5 linked regions of the Canis lupus familiaris genome follow. The protein of the gene in region 4 interacts with the protein of the main gene of each other region in a pairwise test. Links are inferred from orthologs where the notes say so. Each region holds a gene or a part of one and is shown on either strand. Other genes may lie near its edges.

Region 1 (3,488 bases), on a different chromosome or scaffold from region 4:
CCCACTGCTTGGGTACCACCCTCTCTCCAGACAACAGATGCCAGCTACTGCCCTGGCTTTCTCTTATGGAAGGGCACTCACCATGGGTTCCTCTCTCCAGGTAGAGAGCTGAGTGCCTCGGCCACAACAACCAGGAGCAGGGGATGGTCGGATGGGGTGGGGTGGGGGTGCATGTGTTCCTTGCACACATGTGACTCAACTGAGAGGCCTGAGTACTTCCTACCTCCCTTGCCACCCCAGGATACTGGTTTTGAGTCCTGATGCTCCTCATGATGGCTGTCACTATCTCAGTTTCTCTGGATGTCAAGTGGACTTGGGAGACATAGCAGTGCCGCCGTAGCTCAGCATCATGGGGCAGCTGTTTCCGGGGTGGGGAGTCTGTGCAGCTCCTGTTCACAGGCCCTGGTCTCCAAGGCTTCCCTCCCAGGAAAAGCCCTGGGGGACAGTGCCTGGGACCCTCCCTTCTGAGTCGTGGTTCACACATGTCCCTCCCAGAGTGGCAGACATGGATCAGGTGGAGATATTTATTGACAGAAGGGGCCCTGGTCAGGCTGAGCCTCGAGCCTTCACCTCTAGCCAGAGCAACCAAGAGCACAAGAGGATGGGTGCCTGGCAGTGGGGGCAGCATGCCCAGCCTCGCTGTTCCCGGGCTTGGGAACCAGCCTGCAGCCGGCCTCAGGCGCTGGGAGCATACTGCAGCACCAGCCGGTCAAAGTCGTTCTCCTGCAATGTGGATTGGGGACAGTGGGAGCAGAAAGAGAAACAGAGAACGTGAGTCAAGACCTCAGTCACAGGCCTTCCCTGGCCCCGCCTATGGGGGGTCTGGGGATGTGGGACAGATCGCCAGCTCAGGCTCACCTTGGCCTGGTACTCCTTGATAAAGGGGTGGGACCTGTGTGCGTCCTTCAGCTGGGACAGGTAGCGGTTTGTCACCTGCAAGGGAAATGAGGCCAGAGGCCAGGTTAGTTGAATAGGGGGCACCCAGGTGGCTTGCACATGCAGAGCGAGAGGAGGGGTGAAGTGAGGGCTGCCCAGATGACCCTGGTCTCCCAAGCAAGGGCCCTGGTCTCCCATCACGTCCATCACCCCACTGTGAAATCAGGCTGATGACAGAGGACCCCCAGGGCTGGGGAGGGAAGAGGGGGCACCTGGCACAGAGCCCATGCTAGTGCACGGTTGGAGGATGCATCACCGGATTCAGGGGAGTAGGCTGGGAGGGACCTTAGGAGAGGACTAGGACTAGGAGGAGCAGAGGGCAGGTCAGGGGGAAGAGAGTTGGGAGGGGAGGTGAATTTGTTCTGGGCACACTATACAGAGAAACCCCAGAGATCTCAGTATTAGAACCTGGACCCCAGGAAGAGCCCTTGCTCCCAGCTCCCCTCACCTCCCCAGGCCCAGCTCAGACTCAGGGGGTGGGGCACCTGTCTCCCTGAGACTAGGGGTCCAGTGCTATTTCTGGGGTGAGTGGGACAGCTGTCCTGTCTATGCTGTTCTGCCCCAGCCCTGAAGCTGCCGGGGGGGGGGGGGGGGGCTTCTATAAGGGATGGGTGACCGACTGTCAGGAAGTCCTGGGGTCGGTCCTTGGCCAACTGTGCCAGTCAGTCACCTACAGAGAGCGGTGCCCCAGAGTTCTCCCTCCCTCCCCACCCTTAGACAACATGGGCTCACAGAGATTGCTCCCCTGGGCCCCTTTTCTCTCCACCAAGAGATGGCACAGATGGGGATCCCAGCTCAGCTGGCCCTCTGAGACACAGCTCATAGTTCATAGGGCCCATGGAGCAGCTGGCCTACAGCCTGGGCCAGGGTGGGGCCCTAGAGGATCACCTGCAACACCAACTTCCCAGGGCCCCTCGCGCCAATGCAACTGCACTCACCACCACCACCACCCCTGCCCCCAAAAGGAATGCGTTTCCGCTCAAGATGCTGAGCTTCATCTGGGGCTGGAGCCGTATCACAGACCCCTGCCCACCACACGCTGGCACCCTGAGGGCCAGAACACTTCCCCTGCACCAGGGGACCCTACCTCGGGTGGCTTGCCCAGGTGCTGTGACAGGACGATGAGGTTGATCAGTGTCTCTGGGTGGCCACTGTCCTGGAAACACAGGGAACACCAGGCGAGCAGGGTCAGCTCCCCTAGGCCCCCGACTTGGCCTGCCCATCCCCATCTCAGGTGGGAAAATGCCTCCCACTGACCCAAGGTGAAGACATGACCCATACAAGGTCATACCCTCAGAGGTGGAGCAGGTGGGGGCTGCAAGACCCAAAACGTGCCTACTGGCCATTCTGCGAGGTGGTGACCTCAGGACCCTCCTTTCTACCTAAGTGACGAGGGGGCCCCAGCCCAGCCCCAACCCCAACCCACCTTCTGACTACCTTTCTTTTCCCCAACAGCTGCTTCCCCTCTAAGCCCAGTGTCTCATCTGCGGACCAGGATGCAAAAGAGCCCCCTTGCTTGCTGTGATTTGGGAGGGGTGTATTTATTATACCAACCTCAAAGTAACAGAGCCCAACCCAAGATGGCCTGAATACCATCGCTGGCAAGCTGTCCCTCTTGCTGCAAAAATGAGGTCTGAGACCACAGGGCAGACCCCGCCTGCCCCTCCTGCTCTCCAGGGGCCTTGACAAGAAACTGCTGGGAAATTACCAGAACATCCAAGCGGATGACCTCACTCTACCCACCCACACAGGGCTCTGAAGCAGGGACACTGCAGGGAGCCCTAACTGGGCACCTGGAGCAGAGAACAGCAACCCAGACTCGTGGTGTTGCAGGTTCAAGGAGCTGTATGGACCCCAGCCTCCTGCCCAGACCCAGCTCCATGCCAGGGCTGCCCTTCTCTGGGGAAACTCAACTTCTCTCCACCTTAGTCTCCTCAGCTGTTGTCATAGGGCACAGTGGCATGTACTCACAGAAGCAAAACGAGGTGAACACAAAAAGGAATGGGAAGGACAGTGAAAAGCATGGGGTGGCACGCAGGCACCAGGATGAATGAGGCCACGGCATGCCTCAGGCTGCCGGGGGGGGGGGGGGGGGGCATGGCGTGGCAGGGACAGGGCCACAGGGCAGCAAGCCAGCCCAGGTGGTGTCTCAGAGAATGAGGACAGATGGGTGTTATTTAACTGGGGACCCCACTGCCCTCTCCTTCTAGGGCAGAGACACCCCACCAGGCCAGGCTTTCCTGACCAGCCCTGCAGGCATACAGCAGTCCAGTTGAGTCAGACCCTGTCAAGGAGGCATGGTGGCTGCCTGGCAGGGCAAGGCAGCTCCAAGTAAGCAGCCTGAGGAGCACCTGACTAATGGCCCTGGCCCGCCCCTGATCTGCAAACAAACTTCTGATGGTAACTCGACCCCTCACAGAGATACAGGGAGAAAGCTTCCTACTGGTGTCTGTTTCTCATTGTATCAAGAAATGTTTTCCAAAGATGGAAAGAAACTTTGACATGTCCTCTGATTATAAAAATAACACACAAGACCTCACATGTTGGTCCGG
Region 2 (2,225 bases), on a different chromosome or scaffold from region 4:
GGCCGAAGGTGGCGCTAAACCACTGAACCACCTGGCTGCCCCTGTCCATTCACCTGTTGATGAGCATTTGGGTTTTTCCACCTTTTGGCTCTTGTGAATCATGCTGCTCTGAATGTTGGTATACACATACCTGTTTGAGTACCTACTTTCACTTCTTTTGGGTCTATACCTAGAGGTGAAATTGCTGAGCCATATTGGTGATTCTGTGTTTAACTTTTTGAGAAACCGTCATATCATCTTCTACAGAGACTGTACCATTTTATATTCCCACAACAGTGCACAAGGTTTCAAGTCATCCCATATCCTCCCCAACACTTGTTATTTCCTGTTTTTGTTTTTGTTTTTGTTTTATAATGGCCATTCTGATGGATGCAAAGTGGTATTTCATTGTGGTTTTGGCTTTTTTTTTTAATCATATAATTATTTTGCCTCATAAGTGGATGTATTGCTAAAATCAAATAATATTTTTAAGAATTGATTTTTCAGGAAATTACAAGCATGTAAATTATAACTTCTAATTCTCCACTGTAATCTCTACATTCAAAATTTACTATGACACAGAACAAGCTTTTCGGTACTCTTGGTAAAATACTTGGTCCTCATGGTACATTTGCTCTGCTTGCCCATCTTTCAAAGCTGAGCTCACCACTTGGGTATGTGGTCACTGAAAACTGTATGTAAGCTTTAGCAAGTTGGAGATACTTTTTGAGTGTGTGTGCTTCATTTTAAATATTATTTTTTGAAAACTTGTTTGCATGTGTTTAAACATAAGTTTAGGGGCACCTGGGTGGCTCAGTTGGTTGAGTGTCTGCCTTTGGCTCAGGTCATGATCTCAGGGTCCTGGGATCCTGATCCCCCTCTCCCCCTGCTCATGCTATCTCTCTCTCTGTGTCTCTCAAATAAATAAAATCTTTAAGAACAAACAAACAAAAAACAGGTAAGTTTATGTGGGCATTAGAAGATGTCTAGAATCATATACTCCAAACAGCTAACAATGGCTCCCCCAGGAAAGGATCTGGACTTTTTCTTATACTCTTAAAAAAAATTTTTTTTTGGAATTTTTTTTCTGATCATATAGTACTTATGTAACTGTTTTTAAGTAATAATAAAATTTAAAAGGTTTTGGGGGGATCCCTGGGTGGCTCAGCGGTTTAGCACCTGCCTTCAGCCCAGGGTGTAATCCTGGAAACCCAGGATCGAGTCCCACATCGGGCTCCATGCATGGAGCCTGCTTCTCTCACTGCCTGTGTCTCTGCCTCTCTCTCTCTCTCTCTCTCTCTGTGTGTGTCTCATGAATAAATAAATAAAATCTTTAAATAAAATAAAAAGTTTGGGGGATTTCAGTGATCTTTTTGAAATGAATTGGCATTCACTATTGTTCTTTTAATTTAGTTAGTTAGCTATGTTTAAGGGGAAAAAATTCATGATAAGAATTTTCCCCCCAATGAATGCAAGAGGTGTTTGACAACAAAATCTGTAGCTTATGTTGGAGTTAGAAGTTACCAGAGATGAGCAAGTTACCCAGGCTGGCCAGGGGTTCAGCGGTATCTCTTCACTAGAAAGCCAGAAAGAGATGCTTTGGAAGGCACTTTCCACAATGTACAAAAAACCTACTAAAACACTGGTAGGTTACAGCTTTGTGTTTTTTTTAAAAGGTATTTGACCAGAGTGCACTTTCAACTGAAGCTAAAGAAGAAATGTATAAACTGTATCCTAATGCCCGGAGGGCTCATCTTAAAACAGGGGGCAACTTCCCATACCTGTGCAGAAGTGCGGAGGTGAATCTTTATGTGCAGGTAAGTCCCAGCTTGGGAGCCGGAACACTTTGAACCCAAAGTGTATGGTTTGAAACATAAAGCTTTTTTTTTTTTTTTTTTTTTTTTGGATGGTGGAATAAGAGACTACAGAATTCTCTGTAGCAATGAGTCATTCACTTGATAAAGGTGGTTTACATTAATAATTTATAGCAGAAGCCAAGCGGGTATATTAGAAACAGTTGAGTGACTCTGCCTACCATCTCTTTTCTAAGAACAGCAGGCCTGCATCCACACATACTGAAGTGGCCATGCCACATGATGTGACCTTGCCTCCTGGATACAGTGAATTCAATCAGAACAGGAACCTTCATTGAAGCAACTTCCTGATCCATTTTTAACACGTTAAAAAAAACACACGCAGGAGTGCCTGGCTGGCTCAGTCGGAAGAGCATGAGACTCTTGATCTCA
Region 3 (3,151 bases), on a different chromosome or scaffold from region 4:
GGGCTGACCCTGGCCCACTGCCTCGCTCCCTTCCCGCTGCCAGGAGACTCTGCTGGGATCCCTGCGCGGGGAACAGAGAGGCAGCTGAGGGGACAGGCTCGTTACGCCCTGTTCCCAGGCATCTGCTCAGCTCCTCCAACCTGACAGATGGGGCACAGGGAACAGGCGGGGACAGAGGGACCCAAGCAGACACCCACGGCCGAAGTGGGAGACAGGGAGGGCTGGCAGGGGCTGGAGGGCCTGGCCCTCCCCCCGCACACAGTCGGGGTGAGGCAGGCTTGCGGAGAAGGTGCGTGCAGAGGAGCAGCAAAGTGCTGAAGCCTGTCACCAGGGAGGTGAGGTGCTGAGCAGAGAAAAACCTCAATGGGAGGAATAAGGTTTCTGACTCAAGGCCTGGGTGGGGGCGGCTCCACCTTGGGCTGCTGGGATTCCAGGTGCCTATGCCTGTGCCTCTGAGCAGGCCTGTACTTACACCCACCAGACCTTGCCTTAAAAGTCTTCAAGAAGGAAGAGAATGTCATCATTTGAGGAAGAAGGGTGGGGTAGAGTGGGGGACGGAGACACAGAGAGATTTCCTCTCCTTTGGAAAATTCTGTAAAAACATCCCCTGAAAACAGGGACTTCTGCCTGGAGGCCCACAGGTGCAGCCAGGTCTTTGGCCCCTACTCCTTAGGGCCGGGGCCCCAGGCCTTACCTGGAGAGGTGCTGAGGAGCCGGGCCATGAGCAGGCCCAGAGTGGCCACGTTGGCAGCCAGCAGGAGCCTGCCACTCTGCTGCACTAGTGCGGGCAGTGACGTCATCAGGGTGTTCATTAGAGACGTGAAGCAGGCATCTCGCCTGGGGAGACAGGGAGGGAAGGGGGACTGTTTGAGGGTTGTTCCTTACACCGAGGCCTGGGGGAACCTGGGGTCCTGGGCTCCCAGTTTCACCAGGCAGGATTAGAGACGAGGCAGCAGGGTTAGGAGCTAGCGGTGGGCCCTGGTGCCATCTGGGAGCGGAGCCTGGGTTACGGTGGGAGCTGCGGGGCTCCGGCCAGGCCCGGTCCTCGTGCGGGGCGCCTCTGCTCTGAGAGCCATCCATTCTAACACTAACGGGAACGCACGGGCGCAGGGAAGCAGCGTTGAGATGCAGATGTGAGACAGTCTGAGCAGCCCCCCTTGCTTCCTCCAACCTCCTCCCCGGCCTCACTTGATTAGCCCTGGTGCGGTGACCACAAGGTTGAGGAAGATGTGGCAGCAAGTCTGCAGGCCGATCTCCACGCTGTCGGGCAGCACTGAGGTATCATGGCCCGGGGATGTGAGTTCCCACTGCTGCAAGAAATACTTGCAGAGAAGTGAGGGGGCTCCCTCTTTGATCAGGATCTCCCGGGGCCCATCTTCGACAGTCAGGTGGCACCAGCCGGGCAGGAGGAGCCTGGGGGTGTGGAAGGAACACATGCGTAAGGGGTGCGGAGACAAAGGCACGAGGATTCCCTTTCTTGGGGGGCATCCCACCTGTGAGAAATGACAGCGGGGGTGAAGGACCCGGCCTCGTGGGCCCCACAGAGACAGCACACGCGGTGGTGCTTCAAGGGCCTGGGCTTGAACCTGGGCTCCGCCACGTGGCGTGCGCGTGGCCCACTTACTTTAACCCTGAGTCTTGGTTTGCTCATCCTGAAGGCGCGGATGAGCCTTAGGCCATAGATCTGCCGTGTGGACCAAATGGGATTTTTTTTTTTTTTTTGTCAACGGTAGAGCAGAATGCCTAGTGTGTAGTAAATGCTCGGAAAGCACGAGTTCTCTCTCTACGGACAACTCGGAGGTGGGCAGGGGAGACTCGGCTGACCAGGAGTCCTGCGTGAACAAGCCCCACCCAAGAAACCAGAAATAATCCTAGAGGAAATCTCGTGCCCCAGTTGGGAAGCCTGGCACGGACAATCTAGGGGTGAGGCGGTGTCCCCTTGTTGCACTTTTCTTTAGGACAGTCTGGCTGGACAGACTCTAACTACCAACTCACCGGAGAGCATCCCCTGGCCAGGTGGGCCCTGGGGCGGTGGGGGAGATGGCCAGGGTGGCCACCTGCTGGGAGAGGTCATTCGCCTCCTCGGCCTCCTCGTAGAGGGTCTTGGCATAGCGCACAAGGAAGGGCAGCAGCTGGCAGACCTCCTTGCGCAGGGATGAGGTCTCCTCGGCCAGCCAGGCCCCCAGGATCCGCACCGAAGCAAACACAAAGGGCTCCTTCTGCTTCTCTGGCCCCACCTGTTGCCATGGGACCCCCGTGAGATGGAGCAGGACCAGACCCCCTCCCCGGCCGGGACAGCATGCCAGCCAGCCTAGGAACACCACACCTAGAGGGGAATTCCAGCCCCTGAGCCCTTCGAAGGCCGGCCCTGCACACCCAGCACCTGGCACACAGTGAGCACACACCCGACAGGCGCCTGGCACGGAGCAGGCCCTCGGGGCACGCCGCTGAGCTAAGGGGGCTTCAGACAACATGTCCCCACACTTGCTGCGACTCCACTCGCATCCCCGTCCCCCCTGAAGTAGCTCAAGGCTGGAAGGTCCCTCATGGGTCCCCTGGCGGCCCTGACCTGGAGGAGTTAGCGGGACCTCCCCGGAGGCCAGGAAGCTGCAGGCCTGGCCCTGCAGCCCTGGCCCTGCTCCGGTGCCGGGGTGCGTGTGTTGCATGTGCAGGTGCCGCACTCGGGGCGGGAGGCGGAGCCAAGCAGGCTGCTTCCATCTCGTGTGCGTGTGTACCGGGGGGAGGGCTGTGAGTGGGAGCCACCGTGTTGTGTGTGTGCGTGTGTGTGTACTGTGATGCGAGTGCACATATGGTGTGTGGTATGGTGCTTGTGTGGAGGCTCAGGGAGGGAGGGAGAGAGAGGCTCGGCCACACTACTCCCGGGAGCGCTGCAGGATCGGCCCGAGTGGGCATCTGGGCCTGTCCCTGTCACACCGCATCCCTCTGCCTGGCCCTCTGCCCACCCCACCTCCGGCCCCCACCCCCAGGCTCCCTGTGTGGCCACTATGCCCTCACCTGCTGCAGGTGGTGGATGACAGCCCCGATGGCCTCCTTCATGATGCTCACGAGCTGTACCTTCTGGGGCTCCTTGAGCAGCGACTGCTCGCAGCGGGTGCACTCCTGAATCCCCAGCTCCATGAGGGCATAGCAG
Region 4 (3,523 bases):
TGGACAAGAGGTCTTTAAAAGTGAACTATCTGAATATATCAAGGCCGAGGAGTTGTATATTGGGGCCACAGTGAACGTGAATGGCTACCTGTTTCTTTTGCTCAACGCCGACGAGTATACCTTAAACTATATGGAGACGAATTCTGACATGGTGAGCTGTGTAATTCTCGACTTGCCCCTTAGTGCCTGCAGTCTGTGTTTTTCTTTCTCCAGGCCTTTTTGTCTTCATCCTGCCACCAGTTTTACATTGTGCACTCACACATGTGGCCATGAATAATGGATCTGCGCGAATAATGGATCTGGCCCCAGGTCCCGGTCTACTGTTTACCCGCAGGGTCCTCGGGGCACTGCCCAGCAGCACAGGGGTGCCAGGCACAGGCAGGAGGCAGAGCCCAGGGTTGAATCAAGTTTCCTGGTTTTTTTGCTGACGCTGACAGTGCTTTCATAAAGAAATTCAGCAGCTATAGGAAAGGAAGAAAATCTGGTGCCACACACTGTGCTGTCCCTGTTAATTGGCACAGGCCTACACGGAAGACCAAGCGCTAAACAAACAGAAACCCCAAGGGAACCTGAGAATTGCTGGGCTTGCAGCTTTCCATAACAGGAGCTACCTGAGGCCCGAATAAGAGTTCAAGGACAAATTGGCAGCAGTGAGCTCAGAGAATTTTTTTTTGTTTGAAACAATATGGCAGATGGGTACTGTTCCTAAAAGCACTAGTATGGTGTTGCTGTTCTGTCAAACTAATGTTTCGATAAAATCTTGAGTTTTTTAAGTGTGGACCGGTTTGGTGTGCAAACATGTACATTTGAGAGATATTGCCTAATAGTGAAAAATCCACCTAGAAACAATTATTTTTTTTAAAGATTTTATTTATTCATGAGAGAGACAGAGAGCGAGGCAGAGACATAGGCAGAGGGAGAAGCAGGCTCCCTATCAACCGCTGAGCCACCCAGGCATCCCTAGAAATGATTTATTTTAAAAGTCTGCCTCTAAGTAATAATATTTATGTGCCAATTATATCTATACTTCTATATCTATATATCTATATCTATACACAGTACCAGTTCTGTTTCATTTTTATATAAAATGCTCAAGGGTAAGTTGCTAAGATCAGTCTCTCTGTGTTTATCATATCATCCTGTCTGGGTCCTCTGAGCAGCAGGTACCAAGGCTGAGTTAAATAAACAAGGGATGTCCTGGGAGAAATGCATATGAAGGATCAAAGAGGAGGGAGCAAGAGTAGGTGGGGAGCCTGAGATGTAGGTCTGACTCCTGAGAAAAGAGAGGGAAGGAAGGAGAGGTGGGTGCAGGAAAGGCCTCAGGACAAGGAAGGAGAGGTGGGTGCAGGAAAGGCCTCAAGACACGGTGCAGCTCTGAGAAAGTGTCAGTCAGGCCGATGGGGAGGTGGAGCCTGGGAGCAAAGGCTGCTCACGGAAGTGCCGGAAGTGCCATGTCAGGCTAGAATGGCTCAGCTCTGGTGCCCCTGTTGCACTGTCGTTGGGAGGAGAACAGCCTGGGCAGAGTATGGCCGAAGGTATGGCAGGTGGGGGCCATCAGCTCTTCTCTGCAGCCTCTCTGGATAGTAGGCCCAGACAGCACCTTCCAGCGCCGCTGCACCGATTGTCCTTTCGCAGGGTTAGGACTTGGGCTTGTCGTAAAACCGTGAACTGGTAGCCCTTCAAAAGCACTGAATTCAGTCAAGAGGTTCAATAATAGGGCAGTTAGATTGCTGGAGACCAGCAGGCTCGGCTGGGAAACGTGGCTCCACGCTTCCTGGCTGAGAGGCTTGAGACCCATATTTTCCCTGAGCTCCACTTTGCTCATCTCTACACAGCTGACCCGTTTCAGAGAATTAACTACGAAGAGGAGATGCAGTAATGTGTGTGAAGCACTTAGCTCTGGGGGGCCCATAGCAAGCTTAGGGTACAATTTGCAATAGCTATTGTGAATTAGGACTCGATTTTCAAACACAGGGTGAACCTATGTGTTAACATCCGTGTGTGTGTGTGTGTGTGTATATGCATATACGTACTATATATGTATATATGTATTGTAGGTGTGTATTATATATGTATATATGTGTTATGTATATACATGCAAATGTTAACATACTATATATGTTCTCGTATAGTTTATATAAATAGTGTGTGTATATGTATATATATATGTGTCTATTTGATATGAAGGGCTTTTCTCCTTTCAGAAAGATAAAAGCAGGGTAGGACATTATCTGGTATTAGCATCTCAAGTGAAAACTGCATTATTTTAAAACTACCCTTAACAAGGGCTTTCTAAGCAGAAAAAGATTAATACACTCTTTTTTTTTTGTTTTTTTTTAAGAGATAGAGGCACAGAGGTAGAGTGAGATAGAGAATATTAAGCAGGCTCCAAGCCATAAACTGAGCACGGAGCCTGATGTCGGGCTCGATCTCACAACCTTGAGATCATGACCTGATCTGAAATCAAGAGTCAGCCTCTCAACCAATTGAGCCCCCCAGGGACCCCAAGATTAATATACTCTTTAATATCTTTGCAAAAGAGCTAATAGATCCAATCACGGAAATAGATGAAAGGCAATGCGGAACGGTGGGGCGGATGGGGGTCTGTGATAGGTCTCAAACCCCCTGGTGGAAGAGAGACCTTTATACTAAATTAACATCAATGTTTTTAATCTTTCATGTGTAATCTTCTCTCTCTCTCTCTCTCTCTCTCTCTCTCTCTCTCTCTCTCTCTCTTTAAGCTCTTAGCTGTAATTATTTACAAGCTTATACTTTACTGGATTGAGTAAGCAGTATTTTTACAGAGTCTAAAACCTAATCACATGGTAGGAGACAGGAACTGGGGGCTGCCAGAGAGTGAAGGTCGGGGATTCCAGTGCATATGGATCTCTTGACACCCAGCTGTGCTCTGTTCAGTGCATCATCTGATGGCCAATAGTCCCCAGGGGGGCCCACTCTTGAGATCGGGAGAAAATGAGGGTCCACTTATCCAATTGTGAATCCCCATCCTCTCCATTAGGGTCTCCCAACATAGTCCAAGGGTTCAGGTGAGAAGGCTGAGGGATTGTTTTCTGATTCCTGCAGTTTACTGTCCCTTAAGCTCATTTTTCTCAGATCTGGGCCTATGCTGATGTTGCTCTTTGTCCTAAACTGCAACTGAAGAGATTTAATTCTAGTGGTATTTCCTCTGCGTTGGTCTCTATGGACAGCCATGCCCAGCTGTGCTCAGGTTCAGAGTGTGAAGTCTCTTTGCTGGCCATCAGAAAGATTGGGCTCCCTATGTCTCAGGCATGTTTTAATATCCTTCCTTTCCTTTCCCCCTTCTAGTTTCCCATGAGCAGCATTGAACTTATCTTACAAAAGCTGAAAGAAGAAGAATCAAAATCCAGAGAGATCAAGCAGGTATTTACAGCCGCTGACTGCAAGCACACAAAGATGGTGGATTATAATACATTCAGGTAAGCCAGATGCTGCCAGCAATACTCTGTTTTCCCTTCAAGATTGTCTAAAGAGCAAAGAACAA
Region 5 (2,497 bases), on a different chromosome or scaffold from region 4:
GAGGTCTCGCCTCTTTTTCAAGGCTGCTTCACATTCTCCTCTTCCAGGAAGCTTTCTTGGGATGACTCTCTAGGGCTTTCCTGATCCTCCCTAACCAAAAGCTGGAGTCCTAGAAGCCTCCTGTGTCCCCTTAGAACACATGCTTCCAGGGGGCCTTCCTTCCCTTTGCACTGGCCCCAGAGCCCCGCACAGGGCTCTGACATCCCACAGATGCCCTCAAGTGACAAGAGAGTCAGGGAGAAGAGGCTGGGTCTGGCGGGAGAGTGGGGGTAGGCTTCCACCTAAATCTAAGTGAAGTCCTTGGGGCCTGGCCCTTCTCAGGCTCCCCATGCTACCCCTACCTCCAGAAATGGGACCCAGGGAAGCTTCCAGGTTCCCACACTGCTCTACCATCCGCTTCTGCCTTCTCCCCTCTGTTCTTTTTCTGTGGGGTAACTCCTTCCGCTCTGGTGGCAGGAGGGATTCAGGCTCAGTAGGGAGGTGAAAGACATACACAGACTCAAGAGTTACAAATCCTCCTTTATGGGAGGGAGGCTGAGAAACAATAATTTATTGTATGGGGAGCCCCCAGAAGCCTTCTCCCCAGGAACCTTTGGGGACCATGGGGAGGGGCATGGGGGCTCCAGGAGCTTCCTGAGAGGGCCGTGTGTTGGGGTGGGGAGGCGACACATTCAGTCCCAGGCACACTGAACATCCGCTCAGGAAAGGAGGCGCCAGACAGACCCCCTTCCAAGGAGGGGGGTGCAGGAAGGCACAGCGGCAGCGAAGGTTTGGCAGAGTGGTTGAGTGTCAGGGATCGACAAAGGACACCATGATGTAGCGAGTGCCCCGAGTAGTGGGCAGCCCCTCGTGGTAGTGGGTGAGACGGCCGGGGTGCAGGAGCCCCCAGCCCTTCCGTGGGGATGAGACTATGCAGTCATAGCGCAAGAAGCGACAGCCACCTCCCTGGAAGAAACGGAGGAATGGAAGTGGGCAAATCAGTAGATGGGGGGCGGGGGGCACAGGAGGGTGAGAGGCTGGATGGGGGGCTTGGGGTGTCAGCATACAAGAGAGGCACTGGGGTGGGCTGGGGTGGGGGGGTGGTGGCAAGGCACACAGCCTGAAAGAGGTCCGGGAGGTGGTGCAGGCGAAGTAACTGGAACCAAGAAGAGGACAGGCCAGGGACAGGTGCCTGAGGGTGTGTAGGGGTTGTCAGGAGGCCCAGGGCTCAAGTGTGTATGTGCGTGTGTGGAGAGGCCCTGCTGGTGCCCTGACGGGGGAGGGCACTCGGGGCTCACCTCATAATCCAGGCCCTTGTGGTTGAGGGCCACGTTGAGAGTGAAGGTGGATGAGTCGTGATGGGGCCGCAAAGAGGGCTGCTCATCTGGCCGGTAACGGACCACAAAGTTCATCACTGCCCGGGTCTGTGGGGGGCACGAGAGAAGAGGTGGGAGGGATGGCCGTGAGGTCACAGGGTGGGCGGGGGCGCTTCTGAGGAGGTGAAGCCTCAACCCAGTGGGAGGAGGGGAGGAGGGCTGCAGGGATCTTGGCCCTTGGGGGTATCCTGCGAACTCCCCGGGGGGCTGCCATCCAGTGGTATCCCTTCCCTCAGGACTCCAGATGCTACAGGAGCTGAAGGAGCACCATGTGCAGACTTCCAGCCAGAACTGGGGTGTGGGAGGAGGCAGGGGTGGCAGCTCACCTTGGTGTGGTAGCCTGGGAACAGGCTCTCTGTCATGGGGCCCACGTACGTCCTCAATAGCTGCAGCCACTGGTCTTCATAGCCCACCTGCTTCATATGGATGTCCACAGTGGGCACATTCTCGTAGCCTCCAGCCAGCCTTGAGTCCTGTGGGCAGTGGGCACTGAGCCCAAATAGGGCCATGCCAGCCGCTCCCCCCTGCTCTGAGGCCCGAAAGCTTGTGTGACGTGCATTTAGGAGCCTCGACCACTCTACCTGACTCCCTCTAACTCACCCTGAAGATGGTACCTCTTCTGGGAAGCCCCTTGGTCACCCCCCACGTCCAGGCCAAGGGCCCCTCCTGTGACTCCTACAGCATCTGGGCTGCCCATCACAACCTTCAGGAGCAGGGCTCCTGCTATTGCCTATAGCAGGTGAGGTGCAGGAGGGCAGGGCTCAAGCAAGTGCTCTACACCAGAGCGCCCAGTTCAGTGGTGGGTGTCGCAGACCTGCCTGCCTGGTAAGGAGTTTCTGAATGAATGCATGCATGCAGTTGTGCCCCCCCTGGGTCCCCAGCACTCTGGGGGCCCCACCCTGCTCCGACTCTCATGATTCCATTTCCCTTCATCACAGCTGCACCTTCCCTGCCCCAGGGGGTGGGGAGTCCTCCCTGCCCCAGCCCCTCTCACCTCATGCCGGCCTCCTGACCACTGGCCATAGTGCTCCATTTCCTCCACCAGTTCGTCACACATCTGGTCGGACAGCAGGGGGAACCAGTACACATCTGGGCACGGCTGAGGACAGACAGGGCAAGAACAGGGCGGGGAGATGCTTGCA

What was found.
Region 1: the proteins of EFHC2 (region 4) and COPE interact in binary tests that used the Homo sapiens proteins (3 or more experiments, as listed by UniProt). The two-hybrid records come from large-scale screens. The link is inferred for Canis lupus familiaris from reciprocal best matches to the Homo sapiens genes EFHC2 and COPE.
Region 2: the proteins of EFHC2 (region 4) and SPG21 interact in binary tests that used the Homo sapiens proteins (3 or more experiments, as listed by UniProt). The two-hybrid records come from large-scale screens. The link is inferred for Canis lupus familiaris from reciprocal best matches to the Homo sapiens genes EFHC2 and SPG21.
Region 3: the proteins of EFHC2 (region 4) and NCDN interact in binary tests that used the Homo sapiens proteins (3 or more experiments, as listed by UniProt). The two-hybrid records come from large-scale screens. The link is inferred for Canis lupus familiaris from reciprocal best matches to the Homo sapiens genes EFHC2 and NCDN.
Region 5: the proteins of EFHC2 (region 4) and PLOD3 interact in binary tests that used the Homo sapiens proteins (3 or more experiments, as listed by UniProt). The link is inferred for Canis lupus familiaris from reciprocal best matches to the Homo sapiens genes EFHC2 and PLOD3.

The regions. Positions count from the first base shown.
Region 1 is NC_049241.1:44,618,528-44,622,015, reverse strand, and holds the end of COPE (coatomer subunit epsilon), read right to left. Parts: exon of another isoform or gene 3,147-3,488; intron 2,922-3,146; exon of another isoform or gene 2,392-2,921; intron 2,093-2,391; coding exon 2,024-2,092; intron 934-2,023; coding exon 859-933; intron 772-858; exon of another isoform or gene 724-771; coding exon 676-723; 3' UTR 511-675; downstream 1-510. UniProt on the Homo sapiens protein: The coatomer is a cytosolic protein complex that binds to dilysine motifs and reversibly associates with Golgi non-clathrin-coated vesicles, which further mediate biosynthetic protein transport from the ER, via the Golgi up to the trans Golgi network.
Region 2 is NC_049251.1:29,781,774-29,783,998, reverse strand, and holds part of SPG21 (maspardin), read left to right. Parts: intron 1-1,655; coding exon 1,656-1,796; intron 1,797-2,225. UniProt on the Homo sapiens protein: May play a role as a negative regulatory factor in CD4-dependent T-cell activation.
Region 3 is NC_049236.1:6,647,697-6,650,847, forward strand, and holds part of NCDN (neurochondrin), read right to left. Parts: coding exon 3,016-3,151; intron 2,238-3,015; coding exon 1,996-2,237; intron 1,414-1,995; coding exon 1,189-1,413; intron 838-1,188; coding exon 695-837; intron 1-694. UniProt on the Homo sapiens protein: Probably involved in signal transduction in the nervous system, via increasing cell surface localization of GRM5/mGluR5 and positively regulating its signaling. Required for the spatial learning process.
Region 4 is NC_049260.1:38,421,544-38,425,066, reverse strand, and holds part of EFHC2 (EF-hand domain-containing family member C2), read left to right. Parts: coding exon 1-151; intron 152-3,327; coding exon 3,328-3,458; intron 3,459-3,523. UniProt on the Homo sapiens protein: Microtubule inner protein (MIP) part of the dynein-decorated doublet microtubules (DMTs) in cilia axoneme, which is required for motile cilia beating.
Region 5 is NC_049227.1:8,584,550-8,587,046, reverse strand, and holds the end of PLOD3 (multifunctional procollagen lysine hydroxylase and glycosyltransferase LH3), read right to left. Parts: intron 2,455-2,497; coding exon 2,350-2,454; intron 1,829-2,349; coding exon 1,682-1,828; intron 1,404-1,681; coding exon 1,278-1,403; intron 946-1,277; coding exon 790-945; 3' UTR 507-789; downstream 1-506. UniProt on the Homo sapiens protein: Multifunctional enzyme that catalyzes a series of essential post-translational modifications on Lys residues in procollagen. Plays a redundant role in catalyzing the formation of hydroxylysine residues in -Xaa-Lys-Gly- sequences in collagens.